3 linked regions of the Canis lupus familiaris genome follow. The protein of the gene in region 3 binds, or shares a complex with, the protein of the main gene of each other region. Links are inferred from orthologs where the notes say so. Each region holds a gene or a part of one and is shown on either strand. Other genes may lie near its edges.

Region 1 (10,827 bases), on a different chromosome or scaffold from region 3:
AAGGAAAACTCTACAGATATTTTCAGACATTTGAGCCTATGGGCCTTTTAAAACCTTGTACTTATTTCCTTGTGCATGTGTAGATACTTCTTATTTCACCAAAATTTGTTTACAAGACTTTTTAATACGCCTTCTTTTATTCAGCAATGATTTATGTAGCTTCCACTGTGTGCCAGGCAAGGTGCTAGGTGTTGGGATTCAGGAATGAGCAGCAAAAGACACAGCCTTCAAATTGTGCTATCCACGATCTGGGGGAGAAGTCAGAATTATCAAATAATCATACAAATTACTGAGAATTTTATTAGCGCTCTAAATTAGAGAACCTGGTGCTATGAGAATGTCTAAAAAGGGATGTGACCTAGGTAAGGAGGTCAGGGAAAGCTTCCCCTGGGGAAGTGACAATTGCTTGGATCTATGAATGATGAGTAAAAGCTAAAATTGCATTCCACGCAGAGGGACTATTACGTGCAAAGGTTCTGTGGACCAGGGGCATACTTCCCACAACGGGAACGAAAGTAGGCCAGTGTGGCCAGCAGAGCTGGGAAAACAAGGTTGGAGTGGAAGGAGGAGTCAAGCCATGCAGGTGTTAGGCTATATAGGGGACTGCCTTTATTCTAATTGTTTGGAAAATCTGTCAATGGTTTATAAGCAATAAGAGACAAAATCACGCTTGTTTTGAAAGGATTCCCAGAGTTAAAAAGCAAGGGACACATAGAAGTAGGGGTAAGAATAAGGGGAGTAGAGACCATTTCCGTCACGCAGGCATCAGATGTTGGCATCTTTGATCGGGGTGGCTACAGAAAGTAGGCTAGAAATATATTTGAGCTAATATAAATAGGACTGGGTAGCTAATTGAATATATGGCATGACTCCTGAGTTTCTCTGTTGGCCAAAACCTTCCCAAATTAAGGCATATGCAGACCTGACATACTCATTCTCTTAAGAAATGTCTCTTTCAATAACCCTTCAGAATTCATTTATTCAAACACTGTTTATAGAGCACCTATTATGTATTATCCTGGCTGGTGGTGTTGCAGGAGTGGAAGAGGCAGTCTTTCATGGAGCTTTTGACTGTTGACACCAGACACTTTGGGTAAAATGGAAATTAGTGCCAGCACAATGAAGACAATATTTAAACTATGGGGTATGTGTGTGGGGGGGTAGTGGTGGAGGGGAGGTGATGGTGGTCAATTTTTCTTTTGGCAAATCAGAATGCCTTTTTTTTTTTTTTTTTTTTTAAGTGCTTTAAAGCCCCTTACTACCTCCCAGGCAGTGGGATAGACAGGAAGATGTACATTGAGGAACTGGGGAAGATGAGGACTCCCAAGGTCATAAAGCTATGAGAAATTATTGCTTAGGTTCAGGTCTTGCAAATCTGAGATGAAGGCTCTCTCTCTCCTTTCTAAAACTAAGACTATAATCAAGGAAGTTGGAAAAGAAGCCTACTGAAGAAGAGTATTCCTTTTCTAAATAACCGGTTTGAAAAAATAACAGATTCTAGTCCTTTCACCCTTGACTAGGAAAAGAGCACATTCCTCGATGAAGTTTAAGAACAAAGTGTGCTTCTTTTGCCTTCATCATAAGCTGACATAACATAGTCAGTTTCTTTATTGGCCAGAGGAAGCAGGAGAATCAGGAAAATTCTGATTTTTGTATTGATCATGGAGGTGAACAATTTCAGGTATGCATCTTGGAAGTTCATGCCAGTACCCTGTAGGGGAGCCTGGAACCAGGGGAAATAAAAAAGGCAGGCCTACATTCACCTTATTTGGTTCCTTTTTTCATTTGAGAAGCTGAGTTATGTGAACTATTCTGGTGCTTTGCCTCCATTACGTTATTTTACTTCTCAGCTAGTCTTTAGTAGATACCCACGAAGGGCTTTAAGGTCAGTGGTTTTTGTTTTCATTAACAACAAGCTTATATTAGAAAGTCTGATCCCAGGGTGGTTCTAAGGAGGCGGTCTGACTTTTCTTGGTCTACCTAATGTTTATTAGGTTTAAAAGAGACGTTAACTGCAGGGAAGACAAACTCCTATCACTTCTCATTTCTGAGCACTGTCAATGCTTACTCGACAGGCACATCACCTGGTGTACCTCTCCTTTACTGGAAAAAGGTTTCTCTTGTAGCTGCCATATTAACAGCACTCCTCCCCTCCCTCACAACCCACAACCCCCTCCCCCATGTCTGAACCGAATAGTCAATGACATTATTTATCAAAATAAATTTATTAAAAGTATTCAAAGACCACGTCAAAGTTTAGCTGCCTTCAGGACAGTTTTTGGCACTCATCATGAACAATGTAGTTTCCTACACAACAGCACTCGTTCTGTTCTAACACTTAACAATTCAAACAGACCATTTCAGTTTTAGTGTTACAGGAGACAACAGTACTGATGATCTGTAGTCGTATGAACTTCAACACCCTTGCACACAGTAAACATTTTAATATTACTTATTCTAAATAACTAAAACTAAAACCACTATGTGGTAATGGACTGAATTAGGGAAAGATATACAGCCAGCTAGCTAAGGCCACATAATCCCAGACCTATTGATTTTAAATGTGTTTGGACCAACAGTGTCACATCAGACCTTTGGGTCTCCCATTCCTGCCTTTCCAGTGTGAGTGAGACACACCACATTTGGACCACCTTCTCCCTGGGTTCTAGACAGAGCTATGGGAGCCGTCCCAACACAAGCTTCTCCTACACAGTCACCAGCTTCCTGATTCACTAACTCTGAATCAATAGTTCTGAGTGATGTTTCCTGAACACCCAGGCTAAATTCAAGGTCAGTCTTTTTGGAAGGTCGCAGCCTTTCCCCTTAGGAACAAAATGAAATGTCCTCCACTCTTGGGCTCCCCTTTTCGTCTCATGTAGCATGGGGCTCTGTGGCGATCTGTGGCTTTTTACACAAGTCCTGATAGAATTCTGACTCCAAGAAACGGGGATAAGAGTTGTTCTCCATCAAGCTGTAGACCCTTTTCTGGGCGGTTGTAAAGCAGCCACTTGTAGCTTCTTGTATGTTTTGGGCAATCAGAGTTTTGGTTTGAAAGTCTATGTTTATCTGAAATTATAAAAAAAAAGGGGTTTATTCCATATTCAAAGCTAGGGACTGATACCTATTTAATCGTTGAAAACAAGCAGCAAAAACTATAATGTGTGATGAGCTTCATTAGCCAAGTCATTGAAGAAATGAAATTAAGCGAATTAAAAACTAGAATTAGTTTCTTGAAACAATCTTGTCCCTCCCCCCTTTAATTTAATGTCTTTTTGTTTCATTTTGGTGCTAAGAATATTCAAAATATGCTGAATTGAAGTTCTTTTTTTGCCCCCCTTACCTCTTTAGGTGCTTCTTTTTCTATGAAATCAGTATATATTTTCCTTGCTTTGGAGGACAGCTTTTGGGGTGACTTGGTTTTTTTGAAGTCTTCGCAGGCCAGCCAGAACTCAATATTTTCTTCACAAAACTCAGATTTTAAAAAAGCCCTGAATGCAGCAAGACCATCTGGGGAGGAAGAAAGGGGGGAAAAAACATGCAGAATGTAAATTGGGTGACCAATTAATGCCTTAAAATTTTTCCAGAACTACCATTCTCCCATCCCTATATTTTATTATTTCTAAATGATGGCAATTTTCTATATTTCACTCAAACTTGTAACCCTCAGAATTTAGCCTTTTAAAGACTAAGATGCTAATAGGCAAAATGCATAAGCTGGCACACTGCTACAAAATATACTTAACTTTGCTTTTAATGCAAATATTTAGAGGGGAACCTAAATTCTCCGGGCTCCAAACCTCCTGGAAACCTTGTATGCAATGGAAAAAGCTGATTCAATTCAACCTTAAGGAAGAGCAACTGCCCCTACAATTTGGGCTACTTTTCCTTCCCTATCTACAGTGAAGAAACCATGTATTTCTATGGTTAAACAGGAAATAAAGGAGAAAAATAGGCATTAGATCTTTAGTGATTGCAAATTTGAATTCCCCTTGAGCAATCTGCTTTTCTGTTGTGAACACCTTTGTGGACTCTTGTGATATTTGTGATATCTTGTGAAATGGATCAAATTCAAAAGGTTAACTTACATTTACTGGCTAGCAGCTCATCAAACGCTTCTGACCACAGCTGTGCTTCCTCAGGAGAAGGCCTGCAAAAGAAGGTCTGCTCATTAGCTCGTGCACATCAGAATTCCTCTTTTCAGCTCAGCAGCTAGCTATTCATGTTCGCAAATACAAGATTTTTCAACTTACTTGATGAAGGTTTGCTGTTTGCTTTTCTTGCCATTTTTGGGCTTCCCAGGAGACGACGAATTTTGTAAGAAGTAGCTCAAACGGGTCTTCCAATCTTTTAATCTTAAAAAGAAAAAAAAAAAAGATATTCACTAAGTGACAACGTTTGAAATTGCTGTGGCAGCTGAAGGCATTTTTACCAAATAAAGCCACCCAGTAGCAACAAGAATCTTCAAGTCAGTCTTACTCATTTTACATTTAAACCTAGCACCTACGTGCTTAACGCAATTAGTTTCATCCCTTCATCTGAGCAGAAGTACTACTCTCATAACCAAGGGTAAGTCTACCTAGGACATTTAAATGAATTTAGATGGCATATTTCAAAAAGACAGATGCAATTTCTGACCCACAAAAGACCGCAGTTTTTCTGCAGCCTTGATTACAATTCTGAGACATTTCACACTTGAAGAAACCTAACACTGGAACTGCTTGGAGCCAGTGGGTGTTCATTTCCCTCCTACCCTTAGAGCAAGAGGCTCTGGACCACTCCAGAAGCCATGAGGCAGGGGGTGTATGTGTGTCCGAGAGAGAGAGAGAGAGAGAGAGAGAGAGAGACTGAGTTCCCCTGCCCCAGCCCAACTACAACACTCATTTTAAGCAGATGATGCATAACGATGATTTGCTGCACAATCTTTAGTGGGTGAATTAAGCAATTCAGTCAAAAAAAAAAAAAGCGATTTTAAAACGAGTATGTTCAGAACCAGCCAAAATATTCCAATCCGGAAGCTGTGCAAGCTGATCAGAACTTATAATGCAAGGCACCAGTGCTGGGGATGTGCTTCGGCCCCAGGATCCTCGGCTGCTACCTTAGACGCAGGGGCCACAAAGCCAACCTGCGAGGTCTTAGCCTCCTCATCCTCCTCATCACCACCGCCTCCCTATCTAACATGCTCTCAGTCCTAAACTACCCGAGAGTCCTTGGCTCACGCACACAGATTGAACCTTACTTAGCTAATTGCCCTCTTCCACATTTTTGCTTTTCCCTGCAGAGGCGCGGGTCGCAGGGTTTCCTAACGTCATCACGTTCGCAGCAAACCCGGAGCGCCAGGTGCGCAGCGCGGGGCGGGCGCCCGAGGGCCGTACTCACAGGGTCCGCTTCATCTTTTCCCGCTTCTCCTCGTGCTTGGGGCTGTTGCTCGAGCTCTTGTCCATGGATCCGCAGTCGTGCTGGACGGCCAGGAACATGGCACTTTGCATCGTCCACCGCCTGCCGGGGCCGCAGCTCTGCGCGGCGGGGCGCGGGCGCCGCCTTTATGGGCGGCGGCGGGGAGGGGGCGGGGCCTCCGCCGCCGGGCCCGCCCCCCGAGGGCACCGATTGGTCGGCTGCACCCGGGCGCGGGGGCGGGCGGCCCGGCCCGCGGCGGTCACGGGCGCCGCCGAAGGCTCTCGAAGCGAGGTGGGCTGACGTCCGGGGCTCGGGCTCCGGCTCCGGCTCCGGCTCCGGCTCCGGCTCCGTGCGCGCTCGGGCCCTCGCGGCGGCTCGCGGGGTTGCGTGTGGGATCGGACCGGGACGCCTCGCCGCCAGCCGCGCCCCGGCCACGGGACGACGGGACGACGGGACGACGGGAGGGGGCGCTCCCGGCCCTGGAGGGGTGCAGGCTCCGGCGGGGAGAGGCTGCTGGGAGCGGACCGGGGTGCAAGTGCTTTATTTTGAGTTAAGATGTTTTCCAACCCCCCGCCCTTGTTTTTTGGAGAGCGCGCCCTCTTCCCACGCCTCATTTCTTGCAAACAGGCCGCGGGGAGACCCTCCCCTCTTCCGCTGTGCGACTCCGTTGAGTTGGGAGGGGAGGAAAAGATGAAAGGGAGGGGCGGGGCGGGGGCGGGGGCGGGAGCGAGGGGGGTAGGGGCGGAGGGGGGCAGGGGGAGGGGGCGGGGGGCAGGGGCGGGGGGGCAGGGCAGGGGGGACAGGGTCAGGGGAGGGGGCGGGAGGGCAGGGGCAGGGGCGGGGGGGCCGGGGTGGGGGCAGGGGAGTGGGGCAGGGTCAGGGTCAGGTGGGGGAAGGAGCAGGGGCAGGGGGGGCCGGGGCGGGGGCGCGGGGGACGGGGGCGGGGGTGGGGCAGGGGAGTGGGGCAGGGGCGGGGGGGCCGGGGCGGGGGCGCGGGGGACGGGGGCGGGGGTGGGGCAGGGGCGGGGGCAGCGACCCCCGCGCGGCCGGGGGGTGGGGTGGGGGGGGGCAACCCGGAACCCTGCGGGGACTGAACGGTAAGCAGGGAAGGAACCGGAGAAAGGGACTTTATCCGACGGCCGTGTTTTAAGAGGGTGTGCAGCCTTGCTCCCCGCAACCTGCGTGATTGGGTCTTCCCGTGGGGTTGCAAAGCTTTTTCTCCGAAATCCTTGGTTGCTTCTCCTTCCAGGACAGAGAAGTCCCAGCTCTCCTCACGAGGAGACGGAGGGAAACACCAAGACGTGGAAACTGTGATGCGCCAGAGCCATCCTCGTCCTGGGAGTGCAAGGATGCAGGGTTTCCTCATGAGTCATTCTTGGCTGAGAATTTACCAGAACACTTAATAACTTGCAAAGTGGGGGAGGGAGGAGAAGAAGACGTGAAGGGTTTACTTGCATAATTTGGTGATTGTTCAAAAATCATCTGTGCGAAGGCCGGCTTTAAGTGTTTTTGAGTGGGAAGGACAAACGGAGAAGGTCCACAGTCGATGACCTCAACACAATTCACTCCTTGATTTCAGGTATCAGAGCCGTACAGTGGAATATTCAGATGGTTTCCCCATCAAGCATTTAAGTACAAAGTAAGACTCACAGCAAGGTATTGATTAGGCTACAGATACTCTCCGAGCTTTGCATTAGAACTGCCAAAAGGAAATTGGAGCTAGTTTAACTTCGTGCCCTGAGCAGCCAGTAGTTGACATGTAGGGTAAAATCTGCAGTTACTACTAAAGAGAACAGACATGTAGTTCATTATGGAAAGGAAAAAAAAAAAAAAAACATTTGGATTTCAGTAATAAATACTTCAAGATGTGTTTGTGAAATGTAAGAATGCTGTTTTTCTCATGCATATACTCTGTCTCTACAAGAACCTTGCATAGTATTTCCATCAGTTTTCACGTTCTGATTATTCAATACTTACTAAATGCGTGTGATCCCTGGGTGGCGCAGCGGTTTGGTGCCTGCCTTTGGCCCAGGGCGCGATCCTGGAGACCGGGGATCGAATCCCACGTCGGGCTCCCGGTGCATGGAGCCTGCTTCTCCCTCTGCCTGTGTCTCTGCCTCTCTCTCTCTCTGTGTGACTATCATAAATAAATAAAAATTGAAAAAAAAATAAAATAAATGCGTGTGATAAATAGCCCCTCTCTTTTTTTGTTTTTTTGCCAGTATAAACCTTAATACATCATTCACTTAGAACCTTGGATGGTAGTATGCATCCATAGTGGAAGGTCCAAGAGTTCTCATTAAGAAGCAGCAAGGAGAGAGAGCTGGACCTGCGTCTGGAGACCTAATTAGAGTCTTGGCTTAACCAATAAATGCTAAGTAACTGTTGGGACGGTCTCATCACACCCCCTGGAGCCCCAGTTTCTCATTTGTGCTAAGACTAGTGTATCTTTTTTGCCAATCTTATTAGACATTATGTGACTCATGTGAGGGGCCTTTGTAAATTCTAAAGTACAGAGGTTTGGTATTGTAAATTCGCACATATGTGAAAAAGGAAATATAGCTATTCAAGGGAGAAAATCATTAAAGGTTTAACTCAGTTAATTAGGTTATAAATGTGCAAATATGATTAAAATACCAAAATGATGTGTCAGATTTGTAAAGGCTTAAGCTCATAATAAGATACTTAACAAAAGCTTTCTGGATAATAAGCAAATAAGGAAAACAGTTTGCCATTTAAACTTTTTCAGAGATCTCTAAGCCAGGGAAGTTAGATCATCTCAATATATTCACAAAAGTGAATATATATGTATCTGTGTAAACAACTGTTTAAATGTAGACCATTTTAGATGTTTCTGTGTTTAATGTAATTATTTGCTTTTTTCATAAACCGTTTCTGATGGACAACTGATGGCAGCAAATTTAATTTTTTCCTGAAGATTATGAGGTCAGTTGATAAGTCACTGTGTAATGGTTGATCATTTCTGTGTGTAAAGTGATTTGAAGAGTTAGGGCAAGACCTGTTTCAGACTGATAAAACTTTTAGTCAAAAAATTGCCATGCTAATGTCATTTATAAGGGCTGCAGACATAGATTTAAAGCAAAAACTACAATGTTTGATGACTCCCCCCCCCCTTTTTTTTTTGTTGCAAGTGGCTTTTAGGTAAATGGGATGGCTCAACATTAAGATGACACATATTTTCCATTCTGTGGTGGAGGGAGAAACAATGCAATAGGTTGTAAATATTGCACAGCAAAACCACAGTTTGGTTTGCTGGAGAATATACATTCTCAATGTTGAATCTACCGTGCCCTCTACTGGAGAGGTTCTCAGAAGCCATTAGTGGTGGAGGTGGTTCTCCAAGTGGTTCTTGAACTTTTTGTATTTAAAAAAAAAATTAAATTACGGAAGAAGGCAAACAAAAAAATACAAGTCTCTAACAATACCAAAAGTAGAATATGGAAAGGAAAAGTCTCCCTGCCACAATTCTCCCCTCTGTATGCTCTTGCCACTGTAAGCTGTTATTACTAAGAATTATTCTTATTAGCTAAACTTGTTTATACATAATAAGTTTCATACTTAGGCTTTAGAATTTAAGAACCAAGGGAAATGCTTAAAGAACACACAAGAATCATTCTGTGTATTACTCCATGCTTTGTTTTTTTTCAGTCAATAAAATATCTTAGTTCTTAAGTTTGTAAAAGCTATAAACCTGTTGCTTACCTCACAAAATCATAAATTGGTGGTAGGCTTAAAAGAAAGGGGGGATAAAAAACCCTAAGAAGTTAAGTGCTCTGTGGCAAAGGGTGTGATGAGTAATTGGAAAAAAAGGAAAGTTTTAATACTGTGATTGTTGAGAGTATTTAAGGAAGTAAGACACCTACCTGTCCTTTACTCTCCCTCCCTCCAACCGCCTCCCCCTTTCCTTCTTTCTTTTCTTTCTTTTCTTTTCTTTTCTTTTCTTTTCTTTTCTTTTCTTTTCTTTTCTTTTCTTTTCTTTCTTTTTTTTCTTTTTTTTCTTTTCTTTTCTTTTTTTTCTTTTTTTTTCTTTTCTTTCTTTTCTTTTCTTTCTTTCTTTTTCTTTTGAGGGAGAGGAGTCTCATTTAACTTTAATTGGTGGAATTTTTTTTTTTTAACAGAATGAACACACGACCCCAAAAGATCCTATGCTTTTCTTCTTAATATGATCTGAGTTTTTAATGTCTTTCTTAGAATGCCGTTTGCATACCCAGAGGTGATAAGAGAGAAAGTTAGTGTTTCTGTTGGGAGTGAATCAGAATTCCAACATAATACTTGACATGTACTACCGAGGAGTAATTTTACCAATCTTTGCATTGGTAATTCCAGTTAGAGCACGTCTATGGTTCTGCCTTAAATTCATCCATGATGTGGGGTATGTCCTACTTCAGTGCAGGCAGGGCCTAATCAATTTGAGAACACTTTCCTCACTAAAGCAACTAGATGCTCTTTGAAAACCAGCATCATGATGTACTAGTCCCGCACCACCTCCAGATAAAAAATTCTAACATGTATTGAAATATCTCCAATAGGTTTCTATAGTTATTAGACATTATTCCTAATATATTAGGGCATAATTGCTAATATTAGGGCATTATTGCTAGTGTGTGCCCATAGCCACCGCTCTCTTCTGTGACCATACACTCCACAGAATCTCAAGGGACAGTTATGATTTAAATCCCTTCTTTTTTTTTTTTTTTTAAATCCCTTCTTTATAGAATAAGTTACATAGCTAGTATATTGTTTATAAAGTGGGGAGAGCTAAGAGTTTATTTCCTGGCATTTCTTTTGCCTGGGATTTTAATTTCTGTGCACAGAATTTTGTCAAATCACTAGAGTGTCAAGTGACCTACTGACTACTTTTTGACATTTAGGATATTGGGTTCATAATATATAAGATTTCAAAGGTCTGTATATGATACCAATCACCGAGAGTCAGAGAGAGAGAGAAGAAGGATTGCTCTTCATCTAAGACTGCATTGGTATTTCCAGGTTACGGACTATCCCTATGTAGAAAGTATTAATCCACTTTAGACTTTGGTTTTCAAAGATTTTTGATCCATGGACTACTTCATAAGAAGCTAAAATCTTGTGAAGTTTCTCTACAAAACACATTTTTGGAACAAAAATTCTCAAATCTTAATAAAATCAATTGGAAGAACAATGTTTTCAAAGAGATACCAGTAGGCCTTGATACATCTGTCATAAATATTGAAGTCTTAAATGCTGAGCTAATGGCACTAGACCTCAACATTCTTAGCTTCAAAAGACAAAATAATTTTGCTTTTCTTTTCATAAATTATCCCTTAGGAGAGCAGTGTGGTTGGAGGTTTTTTCCAAGCCTGGGATCCTTGTGTTTAGTTGCCAGTTCCTGGTATGATTTTAGTTATGACCTCAGGCAAGTTGCTTAGTCTT
Region 2 (10,705 bases), on a different chromosome or scaffold from region 3:
GAAAGACATTGGTGTATGAAAGATCAGGGCCAGGGCACCAGGGTGGCTCAGTCAGTTGAGTGCCTGATTCTGGATTTCGGTTCAGGTCATGATATCAGGGTTGTGAGATCAAGCCCTGCATTTGGCTCTGTGCTGAGCATGGTGCCTGCTTCACATTCTCTCTCTCCCCCTTCCTCTCCCTCTGCCCTTCCCTTTCTACCACCTCTAGGCCAACTTTGCTAAAGAGCATGATTTTTCTGATAAAAGCTTTGATTTTGAAAGTTACAATATGAAATTGACTTTTTTCTTTTATCAGAATAAGCCCCTTGCTGTTATGAGAGTTCATGAGGTGTAGGTAGTTGATTAAGTAATTTGTTGAAATGTTATTGTTTTAACAGAGCTCTATTTGCAGACCCAGACAACAGGCTTCTGAATCATATTTTTGCAAATGAAAAACCTACTTGGGCATTTTGTAAATTCATCCATTATTGCTTACTACTTCTTTGGAAAAATGGGCTGAAAGCATTTTTAAAGGATTAAAGTTACACACATATATATCTACTATGGATATGTTTCTCTTAAAATGCATTTATAATAGTTGTCCAGTTAAAAAAAAAACAACTAGAAACATGGGGATAAATACTACCTCATTATCTGTCCTCCCAACCAACAAACAAAGCAGAACAAAACAAAAAACCCTTAAAAATACACAAAACTTTTGTTATTGTAAGAGGGAAGAATTTTATGAATGATTCAGAAAACTTCTAACCACAACTGTCCTGCTGGGCTGCTTATTCTGTCCACTTGATGGCATGAGTGGCATAAGAAATACCCCTGGGCCTTGCCCCTACCCTGCACAGCAGTGGCTGCCAACTCTGCTGCATATTAGGATTACCTTGGGAGCTTTCAAAACTGCCACCCAGACTGCATCTCATATCAATGAAAACAGGATCTCCGTTTCACTCATATGGGGAATATAAAAAATAATGAAAGGGATTATAAGGGGAAGGAGGGGAACTGAGTGGGAAAAATTAGAGAGGAAGACAAACCATGAGAGACTCCTAACTCTGGGAAACAAACAAAGGGTTGTGGTAGGGGAGGTGGGAGGGGGTGGGGGGTTGGGGATGGGGTGACTGGGTGTCCGGCACCAAGGAGGGCACTAGATGAGATGAGCACTGGTGTTATACTATATGTTGGCAAATCGAACTTAAATAAAAACAAATGAAAAACCAAACAAAACACCAGGATCTCCGGGGTAAGAGACCCAAACATCAGTATTTTTAAAGCTCCCCGTGTGATTCCAACTTGCAGTCACAGCAGAGAACCACTGCTGTAGATACACTCAACAATGTTTTGACTGAGAATTATTATAGCCTTCACAACACTTTTATAATTCGAATTTAGCTTAACCTTGTCTTTCATCCAAACCACAAAGAATCAAAACCTTTACTTTTGGTTCTTTATTTACTTGGTGGCAATTATATCTTGTGCCTCTTGGCTACAACAACTTACTTTAACAGTGTATTTAAAAAAAATACTGTACAATATGCCAAATTCATAAGATGCATATTTGCATATTGCCCAACACATTTACTGATAGGGGCATTGTTAGATCATCTTGCATAAAAGTTATAGAGCCAGGGCTTCCCCATGGGAAATACCTTTAATTCCCTGAAGTAAAGATTCGGGAAATGATGACAAGACTTTTTTAGTTGCCACATGCATATAAAACGATAATGTCTACCACCAAGGAAATGGAGACTCCCAACATATAAATGTGAATTTCTCAAAGGTGCTCCTACAAATTTGAAATATTAGACACTGAAAAAGATAAATTCAATTGTGATTCATAATTTAAAAATTGATATAAAGGATGTTCAAAATTGAGCCGATTCTCCCCTCAATGGACATTTAGGTTGTTTCCAATTTTTCACTATTATAAAAATGATGTCATATATCTATGAATATTAACATGAAAAAAGCTTTACTTCATAGGGGAAAAATATGCAACTTTGAACAAATGTTCATCAAAACACTTGTTTCAGTGAACTGTTTACTAGTATTTGAGACATCTCCTCACCTGGGTTGAATTCCTGCAGGATGGACACTATTGATTCATATATGCTCTATAAATATTTGTTGAATGAAACAGAATTTTTTCCATTTCTAGAACATGCAAGACAATGATTAAGTTCCTGTTCTGTGAGAAAGTATACTCCGCTTCCCCCTGAGCTAAACTTTCAACCAGAAGATAGGCAGACTTTTAAGGGAATAGGACTAGGGACAGATATTTTGAGTTGAAAGGTGGGGTTTACATCATATGGTTTCATTCCTTTTAGTAAAGTCAGAAGGACGGCCATTTATTAAATAAAGGAAGGGAGTGGAAAGTAAATGACTGAACACTTTGATAAAAAAGACAAAGTTCTATATACAGTATACTTAAAAGAATTTTGGAAGAGTTGTGAAGGTTTAGTTGACATGGTTGATGCTGGAGTCTCAGAAATCCCAAATGGTCATGATACAGTGCCCTGACTAATTTAAAGGTCTTTTATGCTAATGTAAAGCCAGAGGTAGGAAAACAGCAAGCTGTAGGGACACTGGGCATGGCAGTCCTTATGTCCTGATTCCTGTTTACACTGCTGCCCCATCTGAGAAGACCTGTGTACCTGGGGGATGTAGAAGAGGCCCAGCAGGTTTGCCACAGCCGTGGAGATGCCCGAGCCAGTTGCTCCCACCACAGCGATAGTAGAGGGGATATGCTCTGAGCAGTTGCAGAACTCGTCAAGGTTCAGAGAATCAATTTTATTCTGTGCCACAAAACTCAGAGTGGCCTCCAAGGCTTTAGAAACGGTGTTGCAAGTGTCAAATATTCTGTATCCCAGTGTCATGTTTGGAAGAAGGGCTGGGCTGCTGTTTATTTCCTCGATGGCAAATATCATTGCTTGTAACCAACGAAACCCGCGGAAATTGTACCTGGAAGAAAGAAGAAATGGAAGGAAATGGGAAGCTTTCTCATCAATCGCTTGAGGATGGGGACTGAGCAAGGCTGGGTTTGAATCATGGCTCTGTTACTCTTTGGTTTCGTGGTGTGTTCTTTGAGACTCAGACAATGGGGACAATGGTCAAGCATTGTAACATGGGGACAATGCTTACCTCATATGGTGGCTGTGAACCTGAGATAATTATGCAAAATTCTCAGCCTGGTGCCTTACATAGAAGGAGCAATGATAGCACAAAGGTTGTTATTAGAATAGAATGAATAATTTGTATCTGTTTCATCCAGCAAAGAGTTTGAAGTTGCTGATATGAAGTATTAAAAATAATACAGAGATTTTAAAAAAAGGATTAGGGAAAATATAAAGAAGATTAGGATTTTTAATAGGTGGGAGCCTAGAAGTAACTTCAGATTTGCAGAGTCACAAATTTAGATTATGACATTACTAGAGGTCAAAGGGGAAAGGGAAATGATAGATCTCATCTTTGTAAACTAACGAACATTTGTAGGAAGGCTGTTTTTGGGGGTTATTTCGGGGTGGTGGAGTGATGGGTTTTATAAATGGGCTTTTGGTTTATTTATATAATCTGTTATAAAAAATGAGCGTGCATTGCTTTCCAAAGAACATTATTTTAAATAAATATCAAGCAGATTAAACAAAGAGAAGTAGGGTTAGTGACTTAGTTTTCACTCTCCCAGGATCTGGCTCAGAGCGAGGACTAGGTAAGTGTGTTGAATCAGTGTGTCAGTCCCCAAAGGGGGAAATGTAATAACTCCACAGGCTTTTTCTTTATGTGGTAGGTTACTTGAACTCAATGACAGGAGGTAAGAAATACAATTTGCTATACTCCACTCTATTGTGTAGGTTTTTAACTTTTAATGTGTTTTCTCTTAGTCATTTTCTTTATCCATCACTTTTTTGTTTAGCTATTTGTTTTAACCCTGAAAAGTTAAGAGAGGTTATAGAATATTTCTTTACATAAAATACTTATCTGATTTTACTATCTTTCTTTAACATAACTTAAAATTATAGTATTTCGGGGCTTCTTGCTTGATCTTAGGAATATACGTAGCACATGTGCAATTCTGTTCAGTAGGGCACCTGTCCACATGGGATGTGTGAGGGGATATAATTAGCCTAACTGAAATTCTGTACTTAGTTTTCTGTATTCATGAGAAAAATGTAAAAATGTTATCTAATTTTCCAAATTCGAACATGAACGGAAATCGTTTTGTTGGAGCAATTAGTTTTCATTTTCATTTTCCAGCAATCAAGAAGAGCAGAAAAAGTGCCGGATCCCTTCCGAATGTTGCAAGTCTCAGAGAGAAAGTGGTATTTTCTCTTAGAAGTTGGGTAAAGACTTGGGGTACAGTCATGGTCTCTGATATCTTTGTGAAAGGAGGTGATACATGGTCCATTCTACTCTGCAGAAGTCAGATCTTGTTTGATGGAATTGTGCCTAATTCTAGTTGCCATATTCTAGGAGAGTCGTGATAAATTAGGGAGCATTAGATGAAGGGCGATGAGAATGGTGAAGTGTCTGGAAATCATGTCATGAAGTAATTGTTCAGAAAACCAAGACTCAGGCCTGGAAAATAAGTGATTCAATGGGACATGTTAGCTGTCTTCCAATGGCTGAAGAGAGAGTTCAGTGAGAGACTTAGATTAATTCTGTGTTTTCTCCATTGGTGTTAGGTGTATTCTGTTTTGGGTAGGAGGATTTTGGCTTTTTAGAAGAAAGACCTCCAAAATATTGTGGGTTGCATTTTGAAGGTGCATGGGTTATGCCAACCACTGAGGTTTCTTTCGACCCTAAAATCCTTTTTTTGGAAAAAATGAGAGTGAGGCAGCCAACACTCAACACTCAACACTCAACACTCAGCCAACACTCATGCAAAGGGATAAAACTGAAGACAGGAATGCCTATTAGGAAATAGTTGCAGAAATCCAACACTCAGCCAACACTCAACACTCAGAGCACTTAAGGTAAATGGGAGATTTTACTACTCAGATTTGCAAGACCTAAAACAAATTTCCTTCTAGGTACTTAGTCTTTCATTAGGCAACACTGCTGCCAGGTGAACAATGATGATTCAGTTACCATGTGACCAGACACATACTCCCAATAGGCCATGGATTCTTCTACTCAGTATCTTTGACATTTTACTTTTTGAAAAATTTCTTTTAAAAAGGGGAGTAGAATAATTTCAGCATGACTACCAATCACCATTTTTGAAAAGAGAGAACCAACTTTTTTTTTTTTTTTTTTTTTTTTTGAGAGAGAACCAACTTTGAATAAATTACTTTGGGTTTGGTAGAGTTTTTCTACAACCACCAGAAGACAAGAGACCCTATGACTTGGGTCCTTTCCTTACCTGATACATTCCACAGACTCCGGCCTTGACTTTAGATCTTGATCTTTGGCTGCTACTCCAAAATGAATAGGAAAGAGCCCCCCAAGGATAATGTCCCCTTTCTTCTGGGCTCGTTGGTCAGGCCCATAGGCAGAAGTGCACCAGGTGATTGCCAAGAGGATCAAAGAGCAGCTGTGAAATGCCATAGTGATGCCTTCTCTCTTAGGGGGAGAGACAAGAGTGCTGGTGGTTTGGGGGTTGCTGGAACTTTCCCCCTTAGTGCAGTTCACTTCCTATAGTGGGGGCACATGTCTACAGAATGATTAATAACGGAATGGAAGCTGTGATGTTTGAATATCCATTTTTGCCTTTGCCATCGTAGACTAGTAAGGTGGGTGGTCCTTGAGTCTTTAGAAGCCACATTGTGGAAAGAGTGTCTGTGATGCTTTCTAAAAGAAAAGAGAGACAAAATGAATGAATTCAGCTAAGCCTAAGTCCCATCTTGTTATGATGACTGCATGCAACTGACATGGCTTAGAATTTCCATTTAGAGAGGCTGAGGAGTAGCAAGAGGGGAAGCCATGACTTAGAGTCTCATTTTTATAGCACTTCATGTAAGATACAGAAAACTTTACTTGCCCATATTGGAGAAGGACTGTGTTCAGTTGTGAGGCCACATTTTAAAGAGGTAAGCTAAGGCCTCTACTGATGCTGTTATTGGATTTTAATCCATTCATTCTTCTGTGTGAATAATGCACAGAATTTTCTTAGTAGAAGCAGTTCCTTGCATTATTATAATATAAATGACATTTTATTCAGCGCCTATGTTCTTACAGAAATACAGAATGAGTCATATTTAAGTTTAAATCTGGCTTTAAATCAATCAAAAATGTCAAAAAAGGCCACCTAATCTATATTCGTCCCTTTTTTGTACCTTCTTATCACAGATCTCTGGCTTCAGTTTATAATATGACACTCTATAAACCTTTGAGGAATAGTTCTTATAAAGGATGCAGATAAATCAAAGGTCAGATTATGTTTAAAAGTTTCAACAGCTGGATCTAAGGAAAAGTCCTTCTGCTTTAGCACAATTATCCTAGTGGGAAATCTTTGTTCTTCTCACTCTACACCCTCTCACCCATTCTCTGGGTCAAGGTCAAATGTTGGGTAACCATACAGCTTCTCCTAAGGTTCAGGGCCAGCACTGAACTGTCATCTGGCCATCTCCACCTGGATGTCCCACACGTGCTTCCAACTTGACAAGCTCTAAACTCACCTTCCTGCCAAACTTGTTGCTACTTCCTTGTTTTTTAATGTCAGCAAATGAAGTACCATTTACAAAGACACAAAATAAGGAGTTATCCTAGACTCCTCTCTCTTCCTATCATTGCCTTTCATATTCAAACAATCACCAAGTCCGGTAGACTCTGCTTCCTAAATTTCTAGAATCCATCTTCTCCTTTCCTTTTCTGAGGCCATCTTAAGTCTGCCAGCATTTCATATCTGGATTTCTGCAACTATTGCCTAATAGGCATTCCTGTCTTCAGTTTTATCCCTTTGCAGTCTATCTTTGCAAATCTTAGGATGCCATGAAACACCTGGTTTGGAGCACAGGCTCTGATGTTAAACCTGGCTTTGAATCATAGTCTCACTGTTTTCTAACATATGACTTAGGTAAAGTCATTTTTCTGTGATCTCAATAAAATAATGCATGGAGAGATCTTAACATAGTGTAACTAGTAAACTCCCAGAAAATGCTAGCCACAATCCAACTTTACTCTTGGTGGTCTTCTCTTTGAACTTCACACTCCAGTTATACCAAAATTCCACCAGTTCCTCAAGTACACCAGGCCTTTGTAAAATCCCAGGCCACACACATGCTTTTCTCCCTCCTTGGTCCCTCTGGCCCAAACTTTGCTTGAAACACATCTACTTATCTTTCAGTTTTTAGATGCTCATGACTGTGGGTATAGCTTGGCAAACTGGGGCTTCTGTGTGAATGGAGAAAAGAACTCCTATGGGCCAGACACAGCCCTGCACTAAGGCATCCAGCTTGGGAGTGAGGCACAGTTTGGATTTCCACCCATACTAATCCCTCATTGTGCAGTGAGTAACTTGCAGGACTCTTCAAGGAGGCCTTCCCTGGACCCTCAGACTAGGCAGGTCCACCTATTATAATCTTTTACATCTTGGATCTTGGAGTTCTCCTGTTGGGAGATTTTTCATATTTTATTATGATTATATGCATAAATGTCTGATTCCAGAGCCCAAACCCTTAATCATTGTTACATGCTGTTTCTTGCCCTGTAGGAACCCCACCTTCTCCAACAATCATTCTAGCAGAGGATACTGGGACCCACGTGGAAGGAGTACCCCCACAGACACTCAACATTCATGGAATTGTCTCTAATAATGTCTGACCATTCATGACCTCAGGTCTGAACATCCATGATCCATCCAGAACTACCCTGGAGTAGTTCTCTGACTCTAGTTCTGCATTTAGATTTTTGGCTTCATTTCTTGGATCTTGGTCATGCATTCATTCACACATTTAATAAGTACATGTATTAAGGACTGGAAATATAAAGGTAACAAACATATGCATGTTCCCTGCATATTATTGAACCAGGCATTTAGCATTTGTTGTGTCAGGTCCTTTATACATCCAGTGTTTTTTTAAATTTCACAACTGCAGTACCAACTCCACTTTCCAGGTGGGGGAATAGATTCTCCATATATTCAGCTTACTCAAGTGAGAAATTCTGGCACTTGAATTAAGAATGCCTCAAGAACTCAGAATTTTAAGAAGTCCCGAGTAGGGTACTGAATTAGGAGAGGGAACATTATGACTGGTTAAGGTAGGTCACTAAGACCTGTTAAATTTTTCCTGTCAAAGATTAACTACTTGGAGAAGTTTATTAACTTCATTAGTCCATTCAAGAGAAAATTCATGGCAAGAAGTAATAGATCAAGGAGAGATTTCAGGTCAATTTGCAGCAGTTAACTCCACCAGTTTAATGCAGTCTCCAAACCACCCTTTTTAGCCCAATTACGAGGGCCTAATTTGCTTTAAAGCTGAATCATTCTCGATCCTCTCTCTCTCTTTCCTCCAATATCCAATCACTTTGTCCTGCTGAATCTACCATCTCTCTCCACCCTGCCTTCTCCTTTTGATTGCTGTTGCCACCGCCTTACCCAGACTCCCACTGCCTCCCTGTTTCCTTATTGCAAAAGCTTTCTTTTCCTTCTACCTCACTCATGCTGTCATTGATAAGGACAATCAGGGCAGTACCAAGTGTGATCATAGCACAGTGGATTAACAATTGGAGTTCATCAATGTGACCTCAGCTTGCAGTAATGAGAATACAAAAGTTCTTGAATAATCACTAACACTTCAGTTGCAGTATCTGCAGTAGAGACATCTGATCGTATCCCTCATGTCTGTATTCCTTGTATGCCACACTAAAATCATTTTTAGCTGGGCATGTGGTTATCCAAAATGAAAGCCTCCACCCCAACTTCCTTTATAATCATGTGTGGTCAATGGGATGTAAGCTGAAGTGCCTGTGACAGCCTCCAAGAAACTGCTTAAGAGTTAGTGTTTATCCTTTGTCCCTTCATCCCTCTACCTTCATTCTGCTGCATGGAGGTATATGTGGCAGGTGGAGCCCATCTTGAACCCTGCACCATATCTTAGGGAATGATGGTACCATGACCTGATGATTTCATGGAGCAGAACCTCCGTATCAGACTGTTTCTGGGCTCTTACACGAAAGATAAAAAAGCTTCTAGCAGTATAAGTCATTATTATATTTCGTCTTACTGTAGCTATATCAAGTATCTATCCAAAAGTCACAAGTAAACTCATTTGTTTTCCTTACTATAAGTTCATTTCATTTAAATCATATATAATCATGTTTGTCCTCCTGCAAAAAAGTATTGTAAACACAAGCTAAAGCTAGTATTTGTTCTTTATCTCAATGGCAGATATATTTGGAAGAAGAAATGACCCGTGTACCAGCTGGTTTTATGTTTAGAAAGCCCTTGAAATCATGAGGAGTGTTTTAGTACTAACAGATGACCGATCACTGAGTTCCTTCCTAATCCAAGAGATGTGGGATGGCAGGTCAGGGCAGACTGGTCTATGGCTCCATAGGTTAATTAATTTGCAAATTCATCTGCAATCATTTGTTCATCCAAAAACATTCATTGAGCTCCCCATATGTGTTAGACACTAGGGAGTGCAAGGTACCCAGGAGAGAAAGTTGAGATTGCTGCCTCCAAGATGCTCATGGTTTAAAAGGAGACAGAGATATGTATTCTAAGTAGAATGATGCAAGTGCTAGAAGGAGGCATGAAGTAGGTGTTGAGAGAGTACAGGAGGAAATACTGCCAGGAGAATTAATTCAAAGTGGGGACCACATGATGTGATGAGCACTGGGTGTTATACTATATGCTGGCAAAATGAATTTAAATAAAAGAAAAACAAGCAATATATTTGTACCTAAAACAGGAAGGAAAAAAATAATTATGTCTGTATAAAAACCCCCCAACAAAGTGGGGACCAGAAGCTTCCTGAGGGTATGGCTTGTCTCTTCTCATCACTGTAGCTTGGCACCCAGCACAATGCCTAGAACTTAGTATGTGCTCCACAAGTATCTGCTGAATGAATGAATGAAGCATGACCAGTAAAAACCAGGGGCTTTTTTGGGCAACTGTAGGAGAAAACAGAAAAGGGGTCATCCCACAAGACCAAAGGTTCCTGAGGGGAGGGTCTTCATCCTGATTAAAGTTGCATTCCCAGCACTGAACATGGAACCTGGTACTGAAAGGCGCTCAATATCTGCTGAACTTGCATTTGTCCCAAATGTTCCAGAGTCGAGGGTGAATTACCAGAGGATAGAAGGGCGAGATTAGAAGGCAACATTGCCACATTTCAATTTCCATCAAAGTAAAAACCACCCTGGCTCTTGCCCCTTGGCTTTAACATTTCCAGAAATTGTGTAACTCTAGAGAAGAATGATTTTACCTACATTTCAACTAGAGAAAACTGAAGCATAGATCTTCTGAACATAGGACCACTCAGTTAAAAAACAAAAACAAAGACCCAACAAAAACCAAAAACCAAAAACCAAAACACTCAGTAAATATGAGGCATGGCAAGCTCAAAAACTGCAATTTCTTGATCCGTAGGCTGCAGAAATAAAAATTCTAGGTTGCCTAGAAAAAAGGCGGTTATGAAACCAAAATTGATTTCCAGTAGAAATCATCTATCTACATAGAGTGAGTACATTGATTTGTCTGTGATTTATTATACTATAATCTTTGTCCTCTTTTGTCATACTGATCATAAAGACAACTAACAATAAGGCCTGA
Region 3 (10,101 bases):
CCTAAATTAATACTGGCCAGAATCTCTCTTCTAGAAATTTGAACTTGGGGCCAGCCACTATCAGTGTACCCTGGTCTTCTTTTTTTTTTTCTTTTTAAGATTTTATTTCCACATAATCTCTACACTCAATGTGCAGGGCTCAAATTTACAACATGAGACCAAGAGTCGCATGCTCTACTGATTAAGCCAGCCAAGTGCCCCTAACCTGGTGTTTTGAATACAGGAGAGATACTGTGGCAGGGCCATCTTGTATCACATAAAGTGAGTAGCACAGAAGGCTGGTAAACAGAGAGAAGAATAAAGATACACAGAGAGAAGGAGAAAAAAAAGAGACAGGGAAAAGGTGCTTCCAGAGTCCTTGACAGCTTTCTATTTCTTAGTTCTAAATGCATTCCTCTTTTTTAAAGGAAGAACTCCCTTTAAAAAAAAAAATTCATTTATTTGAGAGAGAGAACACACAGGAATAAGGGAGAGGGGCAGAGGGAGAAGCAGACTCCCCACTGAACAGGGAGCCCAAAATTGGGCTCAATCCCAGAATCCTGGAATCATGATCTGAGCTGAAGGCAGACACTTAACCAACTGAACTGCCCAGGTGCCCTCTAAATGATTTTTTTTTAACATTTTATTTATTTATTCATGAAAGACACAGAGAGACAGAGACACAAGCAGAGGGAGAAGCAGGTTCCATGCACGGAGCCCCATGTGGGACTCGATCCCAGGACTCCAGGATTACACCCTGGGCCGAAGGCAGGTGCTAAACTGCTGAGCCACCCAGGCATCCCCCTCTAAATGTATTCTTTTTTTTCCTAAATGTATTCTTAAGGTATGTCTGCATTCTTGCCCTTGGCTTCTAGGATATATCCCTGTATCTTCACCTAAAGTTTTTATTTGCATCCTAAGAGACTCCTTACTAATTCAACTCCCTACTATCTTTATTGCTATTTACTGCTTATCTTTCTAAAGCACAGTTTCCACTATATCATGTACCCCAATCAAAATCCTTCAATAGCGCCCCACCATCTCCATATGAGATACAAGGCCCTCCATGAGCATCTCTGCCTATCACTCTAATGACTCTTTCCCATCACATTAAACTCTGGCAATATCAAATTCTTTCTAGGTTCCAAAAACAAAAATTTTTTTTAACAAATTTACTTACTTTTATTAATAAATGCAGGGCCTGAACTCATGACCCTGAGATCAAGAACTGAGCTGAAATCAAGAGTCGGATGGTCAACCAACTGAGCCACCCAGGCACCCCTCATGACATTTTTTTTTACCTCCCTATTTTCATATACACTATTCCTTCTTCCTAAAAAGCTTTTAATTCTCTGTCTGCCTAGTGGTCTCTAATTCATCCTCTCATTATCTCACTCCAAATGTCATTTCCTCTAGAAAAAAGGAAACACACCAAATTTTTATTTTTATCTTTCTCTATTTTCTTCAAAAACTGAGGACAGAAATGTAATATACATAGTAAACTCAATTATATCTGGAATAGCACTTTAGACTTAAAGGGTCTTAATCACATGCTTAATGCTAATATCACTACCAGTGAACACTCTCCATAAGGACATACATACATTGTTCAAAATAAAAGACAAATTTAACAATGTCACTGAAGTGTTGATCTAAGATGTGTACCTCCAACAAAATCATTCAGGATCCCTTACCTGTGTATTCTGGATAACAGATAGTTAATGGACTCCTCTTTATTTTTTCCTCAAAAAGGTCTTTCTTGTTGAGGAAGAGAATGATTGAAGTGTCTGTAAACCATTTGTTGTTACAAATGCTGTCAAACAGTTTCATACTTTCATGCATTCGGTTCTGAGGGGGGAAAATGATGTCAGTAGCAAAAGGTAAAAGTGCATGAACTGTTCATGAAAAAAACAGACCAATAAGTTTTAGAAGAACTGAATGGCACTCATGGAAATAAGCTAGACACTGATAACACAAAAGCTAAGTCAATCCTCATTTTCGTAATCCCTGGAAGTTGGGAAGTGGGAAGAAGACTGGCTAACAAGAGGCCTTAATCCTGCCCACATACTCAATGTGCTGTCCTACCTCTTAAAGAATAAGAAGGGCATGGATCAATATTTTAAGTCTAATCTCACTGACAGGAAAAAAAAATTAAGGAATCAAGATTTGGTTCAATGAGCAAATGAATGCACATCTTCCTACGAATTATTTTCTACTTCCTGGCTACATTAAACAGAAGATCCACATACCATCTCCTCATCCTCAGCCAGAACAAGGTCATAATCACTGAGGGCCACACAGAAGATAATTGCTGTCACTCCCTCAAAACAGTGAATCCACTTTTTTCGTTCTGATCTTTGGCCACCTACATCAAACATCCTGAGTAAAGGGAAAGAATGCACAAATTCAGCAAGGTCACAAATACACCTCTCCCTAAACTGAAGTGGTTAGAGAACTTCCCACTAATGTATATTCAAAACTCCATTTATAATAGAAAAGACAAACAAGGAGCAGATAAAATGCAGTCAAACTAATACTGTGGTTAAAAGTAAAAGAGAACAACATGAGAAAATAAAATCTAGGAACAATCAAAATCCTCGTTTTAGGTAACTAGTTGCACTTCCTTTAAGTTTGTTATCAGGAGTGCCAAAAGTCAGCAGAAAAAGCACTGAAATGGACTAAAGGAAGGAGGGGGGAAAAAGGACAGGAAAAATAAAGAGCTAAATAATACAACTTAAGATAATAGTAACAAAATATTAACATTTATTGTTTACCATGGTACCAAACATGATCCTATACATCTTAAGTACACTAACTCCTTTGACCCTCACAACACTGCTGCTAGTACTATTGTTTCCAGTGCACAGATGAAGAAATTGAGGCACAGGTATGGTAAATAACTGGGTCTAGGGCACACTACTAGCAAATGGGGACTGGGACTCTGAACCCAGGCACTCTAACTGCAGCACCCAGGCTCTTAGCCGTAACACCATTCGACTCCCCAAAATGGTTTACCTCTTCAGTCAAAGAGAACAATAAAAAATAGAAATATCCAACTTGCATTCTGCTTCCAGAAAGTTTGTTTTCCTTACTTTTTAACTTTCTTTTTTTTTAACTGAGGTATGGCTGAGGTATGTTTTCCTTACTTTAAGGAAAAAATATTTCAGAGATTAATTACGGGGGGAAAGTAAACTGTTTTTCAGGGTAGGACTCTTAAGAGCCCAATATAACCACTATTTCCCAACTCTATGTCCTAGTTGAATCTAATCAATAATAACAAAGCCTCAGCTGTTCACAGATTTTATGTTCCACTCCTGATTAGTTTCAGTCCACCACTCCCTTCTGGGGGGCTTACTTGACATCCTGGCCCACCTACTGCACTTCTGTCAACAGTGTCCTCATCTACCTCCTACAGTAAGAGGAACACCTGCAGTGCTCTACCTCTAGCTAGTACCAGCATCTGAGGAGGTATGTATACAAATGATTAGATGCTCTGAAGATAGATGTTTAATGACAAGGACAAAATTTTAAAAGGTAAACTTTGCCAAGCTGGTTTAGTATGCCAGATCTAAAGTGACTCAATGTCTATTTCCAAAGACTTTTCCCCTGAAGATCAAGAGAAATAAGACATAACTGAGTTTACAACCCAGTCTTTTCTTGTGGTTGATCTAGCATAGGTTTTTTTCAGCCTTTGGACATGACACTTGGAATGATGCAATCACAAGTTGGCTTTAATACAAGATCATATAATAGGTTTTAGGAAAGCAAACATCACATATGCCACAGAAATCTTTCAAGGAGAGACACATGCTGGTACAGCAATAATTTCAGTTTATCCCTCTGTTGTCTTCTACAAAGTCCATAAAAGTTGCAGAATACCATGACGTCCCAAGGGTGGGCTTTTAGCACATATAACATTTACAATATAATTCACTAACAGATCAACATGTTATAAACATTACCTCATAACTGAGAGGCAAGTAAGCAATTACACAATGCCTTGCATATAGCAGATGCTCAATAAGTGTTTGAATAAATGGATAGTGGTTTTGCCTAGAGAGAAGAGGAAAAGGAAGAAGTGATAGTACTTCATAACAAGATCTCTATGCCAATAATAAAGTGGGTGTGGCATCTTAACTAGAGCTGGCTACTGATTCTGACACAAGACCAACAGGATTTACCCAACTAAAGATCAACCCATGTCAACATCAACAAGAATGTTTCCCACACTAAATAAAGTTCACCACATTTAATTATAAATGGATTACTGATCTTGTAGTACACAAAAAGACATCTCATTCTTATAGGTTGCACAGGTGATAAATTCATATGGCCTTTGCTACTCTAGTTAAATATATCAGTCCTAAAAAAATAAGCAGCTCTTCTATTCTACTAATATTCAGCTGAACTATTTTCCTGCACCATGTTTCAGATCTGTTTTGGTTTATTAAGATTTCAAGACCTCAAATGGTATCTAGTAATACCTGAACTCTGTAGATTTCACAAATCCTGTGAAGTAACTGTTTTCAGAGAGAAGAACATGGAGAAGCTCTCAGCTAGAAATTACAATTTTGTGCAAAAGTGATGATTATCACAGACTACATACAAGTATAATGAGGTAGCTGGAACAAACATCATATATTGAAGAGAAGTTTATTCCTAATCTTAAAGGTCACAAAAGCAGAAAACGGGAACCAAAAAGACAGTTATTTACAAAAGACCATTAACACAGAGACAAGATGAAGCCTATTTTAGAAAGACTAATGCTAATGAGAAAGTCCTTTGTATTCATGTACTAGAATTCTCTCTCTCTAAAACCACTTTTTATGTTATCATACTTTACCAAAATACCTCTATGTCTATATCAATTTTCCATTCATACTACATTAAGAACTTAGTTGTACATGACATTATGCACAAATCAGTCCAAGAGCCATGACAATATTAGCTCCATTCCATTAAACTTAAAGGGAAATGTGCTTTGGTAAGGAAAGATCAACACTGGTGAGTAAAGCATTTCTATTTTAATATCAAAATGGCAGAACAAAGCCACATCACTAAGTATCTATACTTAGTATTATTGTTACCCCTTCTAAACAACAAACATTCAATACCTGTTTTGACGATTCCAACAAAAAAGCAGCTGAAAAGACTAAAATTAAAAATAAAATAAATAGATAACCATGTGATTACTTTTATTGATATTTACAACTTAATTTTGAATTTAAATTTCTCAAATAGACAAAGGTATTTGATGCTATTTGGAGAAAGAAGAAAGGTTTGGGCCCTCATTCAGTTAAAATTCAAATACTGGCTGATGAATATGATGGTTGGTTAGTTGGTTGTTTTGATGATAGGTTTTTAAAGCAAAGAATATGGCCTGGAGAAATTTTACCCTGATTAAAGATACAAACTAAAGGAAAGATATTTGTAATTCGCACATCTAGCAAAATAATGACTTACTTGAAGTATAGGTCTTTGAAGGTGAAATGAGTTTCCACAATGCCTGTGGTCTTCACTCTTGTCCGCAAGACATCTTGCTGAGTTGGAATGTAGTTGGTTTGGGATATCCTATCCAAATCATTTAGGTAACTAAATAAAACACACATTTATTTTAACTTGGTGAAGCTAACCATGTACACACCAAATCAACAACCTAAACTAGTTCCTTGCCAAAAGTAGATTCTAAACCTGTCACTAAAGTGGCAGAACAAGGGATCCCTGGGTGGCTTAGCGGTTTGGTGCCGCCTTCGGCTCAGGGCATGACCCTGGAGATCTGGGATCGAGTCCCATGTCGGGCTCCCTGCATGGAGCCTGCTTCTCCCCCTGCCTGTGTCTCTGCCTCTCTCTCTCTCTCCCTCTCTCTCTGTCTCTCATGAATAAATAAATAAATAAAATCGTTTAAAAACATACAAAATAAAAAATAAAGTGGCAGAACAAAATCAGAGCTTCGGTATCACAGAAATGATGAGGAAAAAAATGTGAATCTAGCATAGGACAATTAATGTAGGTTTTATAAATGCCACACAAAGGGGGTTTTAATTCTACCACAATTAAGCTGTGAAGGCCAATTAGAAGGAAACAAATATGGAAATGTCATTCTTATTAAAAAAGATTTCTGGGGTGCCTGACTGGTTCAGTCAGTAGAGCATGTGACTCTTGATCTCAGGGTTTTAAGTTCAAGCCCCAATGTTGGGTGAAAAGATTACTTAAAAATAAAAAATTTTGGAAAAAAAAAATCGAGAAAAACCAAAACAAAAGCCTTCAGACATTTAAAGTTAATAGGTCATTTGTATGTTCTGACATTTGATGGGACATTAGAGAATGGTGTTTGAATTACTAAAATTAAAATGAGAACTATGTTCAATAAGAATATTTTCTGGTTTTATTCAGGAAAAAAAAAGTTGTGGGTTTTTTAAAATCTAAGTCAAAAATATTGTAAATACTTCCAAGAAATTTATTCAGGGAATTAATTAAAAGACGGCTTCAAAGCTAAGTTAATTTTTTTTAAAGCTAAGTTAAATTTTTGGTAATTTCAGATTCCTAAAGAGTTTTTAGCTAGAAAACTAAAGAACAGGTAGCACTATTATAAGTGAATCATTAATGAGCCTCTATAAAACTAAGTACTACCATCAATGTTAAGGAATCAGGCAAGTCTCAATCAAATATTATGGAAAAAAAATTATTTACTTTTATATTTTTATTTAAAAGATTTTATTTATTCATTCATGAGAGACAGACAGAGAGAGAGAGAGAGAGAGAGGAAGAGACACAGGCAGAGAGAGGGAGAAGCAGGCTCCATGCAGGGAGCCCCACGTGGGACTCGATCCCGGAACTCCAGGATCATGCCCTGGGCCGAAGGCAGGCGCCAAACCGCTGAGCCACCCAGGGATCCCCAGGAAAAAAAATTTATAAATCACATGTTCTCTGGTGTAGTTGAAGGATTTAGAGCTTAATGAACGTATGATAAAAAATAATAACAATCTAGCTTTCATGACTACTGGGAGAATTATTGAAACTACCAACATATGCAACTAAAAAATATTAAAAGGTGGGCAAGATTAGAAATGACAAATACCCACCATTTCTTCGACATGGATGGAATTGGAGGGTATTATGCTGAGTGAAATAATTCAATCAGAGAAGGACAAACATTATATGGTCCCATTCATTTGGGGAATATAAAAAATAGTGAAAGGGAATAAAAGGGAAAGGAGAGAAAATGAGTGAAAATATCAGTGAGGATGACAGAACATGAGAGACTCCTAACTCTGGGAAACGAACAAGGGGTGGTGGAAAGGTAGGTGGGGGGGGGGGGGGTGACTGGGTGACGGGCACTGAGGGGGGCACTTGCCGGGATGAACACTGGGTGATATGCTGTATATTGGCAAATTGAACTCCAATTTAAAAAAAAAAAAAAGAAAAAGAAAAAGAAAAACGAAGACAAAAACAAAAAAAAGGTGGGCAAGAATCCTGAAATTTTTCTAAGGTTAAGTTTTCATTTCAAGATAACTAAGTTTTTCAAATATAATTTAACTTCTTCCTACAACAACTTAAATAAGAATGAAAGATAGGAAAATGTGAATATTGGAGAAAATACCTTAATACTTAAAAGTGCCTCCAATTAGAACAGAGATAGATACAGGTACAAAGAACTCACCAAGTTTCCAAAAGGCACATTAAAAACCTACATTCAGAATATAGATCTTATATATACACATGTTGTATAAGAGGCAAAATCAGCACATCAAAGCCTCACACAAGTATTAATTACACATTCTCTCAAACTATTTAACACTTAACAGAATTCCCTTGACAAACAGATGCTTTGACTTCTTACTAAGACTCAACATTCTCTGTACAAAGTCTACTATTGTGATCTGGCCAAAGATTTATTAGTGGTGACCAGTACCAGAGAAATCCATAGTGCAGGCCAGCCACAGAGTTGGATGCATAAAAAGGGATATCACATTTCTAATTTCCCTCACTAGCTGGCAATTAATGCAAAGTCCTTATGCAGAAGGAACTGCATTGGAAGAGATCCAGGATCCAGCTGCAAAAGATTTCTCTCCTCTTTCACTTACTTATTATAAACTACCATGGAGCTACTTTTCATGGTACTAATTCTCCCATTTACATTCCAAGAGGCAATGTTGTTCTCCAAGTCATACAAAATGACGAAGGGCTTGTAATTACCCTAACCTGAAATCATGCAACAGACTTCTAAAAGTGTCTGTTACTTAAGGTTTTGTCAAGGACAGACTCTGAACTTTCTTAGTGTCACCAAATTATTTTCTATTATGGAAAAATTACTCACTATGAAGCAGAATCATTGAGCTGATACTCCCTGGATCTGCTGAAACAAGCTTGCACGCCACCGTCTCGCCATAACCGTTTAATCACTCCTGCTAGTTCTAGAGTCATGACTCCTTCTTCGGCACTGCCAGCCAAAACAAATAATTGCCGGGCATCATCCTGAAGAAAGAAGTTAAGAGACAGAATGCTTCTCCGCTCCTTAAAGAACTTGACACGCACATTATATGTTTCATTATTTTAAGAGAAGTATTGAAGAGATCTTTCCAGGCAGGGCTGTCTGAGAGAATTTACAATGAAGTCACTCCCCCTACTCATTCCACTGTAGTTAGAAGTGCAGAGCTGAGCTGAGGAATGATTTCAGTCCCCCCACCACATACCACTATCTCCTAAAAAGATCTCTTCTGAGTGGCTTACATATCTCCACCCTGCTTACTCATAGCTTTTTGACAGAAAAAACCTGGTCTGTGATATAAACACATGTAACACATTACCATTTTGTTAACAAACCTACAATAAAAATAGAAACAAAAAAACTAGCATGTAAGAGGTAAAGTCTAAACACTTCAGAGCGAGTAAAACATTAATGGAGTTTAAGGAAAGTGTTCTCTTCTTCCTCAGCTCAGACAGAGGAACAGGAAGAGGAGACTGAATTATTTAAGAAGTCTAGAAGCCTAGGGGGGAAAATAAATCCCTGGGGGCAAAATTCAGTTTGTAGATTCCCCAAGGAATAATAATCCTTCAAATAAGAGAGGGGGGGGGGGAAAAGAGCAAGAGGAAAAGAAAGTTACAAAGAGATGTGATCAAAACTCATGAGTCAAAAAGCTTTATAAGTGGCTAACGTTTTTAAACCTAAAACATGAACTGTAAAGAGGACAGAAAAGGGCTATGAGAACTCTGATTATTTTGCTTTATTCTACCTACCCTTACTTGTCAAATAGTTTAAAAACAAACCCAGGTCTCAATCTTTAAAAACAAGATAGAAGAGAAAGGAACAGAACAGAACCTGGCGCCTGGCTGGCTCATTCAGAGCATGCGGCTTCTGATCTCAGGGTTGTGAGTTTCAGCCCAACACTGGAGATAGAGATTACTAAAATAAATAAATAAAATCTTTAAAAAACCCCATATACTGAAATCTCATGGGATGCTCTCCCCACCTCAAATCTCATATTTATCTGCCTTAGGAGAGTTCCAAATAACTATTAAGATGCAGATACTAAAAAAATACCCATACTTACTGGGTAAAGGAAAAGTAAAGAGGGAAAAGGAGCAATTGGTTGTATCGTAAGTGGTCATTAGGACAATAAACTAGCAAGCAAAAAGCATTTCAGACCAGAGGTGAAATCACAACCCAAAACTCCTAATACTTGTGTGTTTCCAAAACTCATGCACCCAAAAGTATGCAAAAAACAAGACTAACCATTGTGAACTCCAGTTAATGCTGTCAAACTCAAGATCTTCAGCCAAGTAATAGCCCTCCTCTAGAAGCTGCCTTTCTTAATAATAACACTTTATGCCCATCCTTCTCTGAAACTTCATCTAACATCTATATTCCCCTCTTCTCTTTTCAAAGATAAAAATTTTAAATAAAGGAACAAATGACAGAGGAAAGTTGAAAAATTACACAAATTGGCAAACATACTCAATATTGAACATGTCCTTCTATGTCTAATGCTTTAACATGTGAAGACTTTACAGTCCATTCTGAAATTTGAACTATGCTCATACAGCTATTCAAAACCTCAATAAGCATTACATTTTACTAGTGCAATTCTAATTATAAAAACTTTAAAAGAGAGAGAGCTATTG

The links. Proteins that work in one complex are often made in the same cells at the same time.
Region 1: the proteins of GNAI3 (region 3) and RGS2 are in contact, whole or in part, in a crystal structure (PDB 2V4Z), measured with the Homo sapiens proteins. The link is inferred for Canis lupus familiaris from reciprocal best matches to the Homo sapiens genes GNAI3 and RGS2. Residues at the interface, in NP_006487.1 of Homo sapiens: Val179, Lys180, Thr181, Thr182, Gly183, Ile184, Val185, Gln204, Ser206, Glu207, Lys209, Lys210, His213, Ala235, Glu236, Asp237, Glu238; in NP_002914.1 of Homo sapiens: Glu104, Phe105, Glu108, Asn109, Glu143, Ala144, Pro145, Glu147, Ile148, Asn149, Asp151, Phe152, Leu180, Asn183, Ser185, Arg188.
Region 2: the proteins of GNAI3 (region 3) and CASR are in contact, whole or in part, in a cryo-EM structure (PDB 8SZH), measured with the Homo sapiens proteins. The link is inferred for Canis lupus familiaris from reciprocal best matches to the Homo sapiens genes GNAI3 and CASR. Residues at the interface, in NP_006487.1 of Homo sapiens: Ala31, Lys32, Gln304, Glu308, Lys314, Asp315, Thr316, Lys317, Glu318, Ile319, Tyr320, Thr321, Phe334, Asp337, Ala338, Thr340, Asp341, Ile343, Ile344, Lys345, Asn347, Leu348, Glu350, Cys351, Gly352, Leu353, Tyr354; in NP_000379.3 of Homo sapiens: Lys644, Ala645, Asn647, Arg701, Val702, Val705, Phe706, Ala708, Lys709, Pro711, Thr712, Arg716, Trp719, Phe801, Ile869, Val872, Arg873, Thr876, Ala877, Ala880, Phe881, Lys882, Val883, Ala884, Ala885, Arg886.

The regions. Positions count from the first base shown.
Region 1 is NC_049259.1:6,815,617-6,826,443, forward strand, and holds RGS2 (regulator of G-protein signaling 2), read right to left. Parts: upstream 5,536-10,827; 5' UTR 5,487-5,535; coding exon 5,377-5,486; intron 4,353-5,376; coding exon 4,251-4,352; intron 4,148-4,250; coding exon 4,086-4,147; intron 3,508-4,085; coding exon 3,341-3,507; intron 3,067-3,340; coding exon 2,872-3,066; 3' UTR 2,207-2,871; downstream 1-2,206. Other genes in the region: protein SPT2 homolog, read left to right, coding at 5,543-5,943, 6,644-6,797. UniProt on the Homo sapiens protein: Regulates G protein-coupled receptor signaling cascades. Inhibits signal transduction by increasing the GTPase activity of G protein alpha subunits, thereby driving them into their inactive GDP-bound form.
Region 2 is NC_049254.1:26,034,822-26,045,526, reverse strand, and holds the start of CASR (extracellular calcium-sensing receptor precursor), read right to left. Parts: upstream 5,536-10,705; coding exon 5,351-5,535; intron 2,953-5,350; coding exon 2,646-2,952; intron 1-2,645. UniProt on the Homo sapiens protein: G-protein-coupled receptor that senses changes in the extracellular concentration of calcium ions and plays a key role in maintaining calcium homeostasis.
Region 3 is NC_049227.1:42,737,800-42,747,900, forward strand, and holds part of GNAI3 (guanine nucleotide-binding protein G(i) subunit alpha), read right to left. Parts: intron 8,455-10,101; coding exon 8,297-8,454; intron 5,572-8,296; coding exon 5,443-5,571; intron 2,359-5,442; coding exon 2,229-2,358; intron 1,828-2,228; coding exon 1,674-1,827; intron 1-1,673. UniProt on the Homo sapiens protein: Heterotrimeric guanine nucleotide-binding proteins (G proteins) function as transducers downstream of G protein-coupled receptors (GPCRs) in numerous signaling cascades.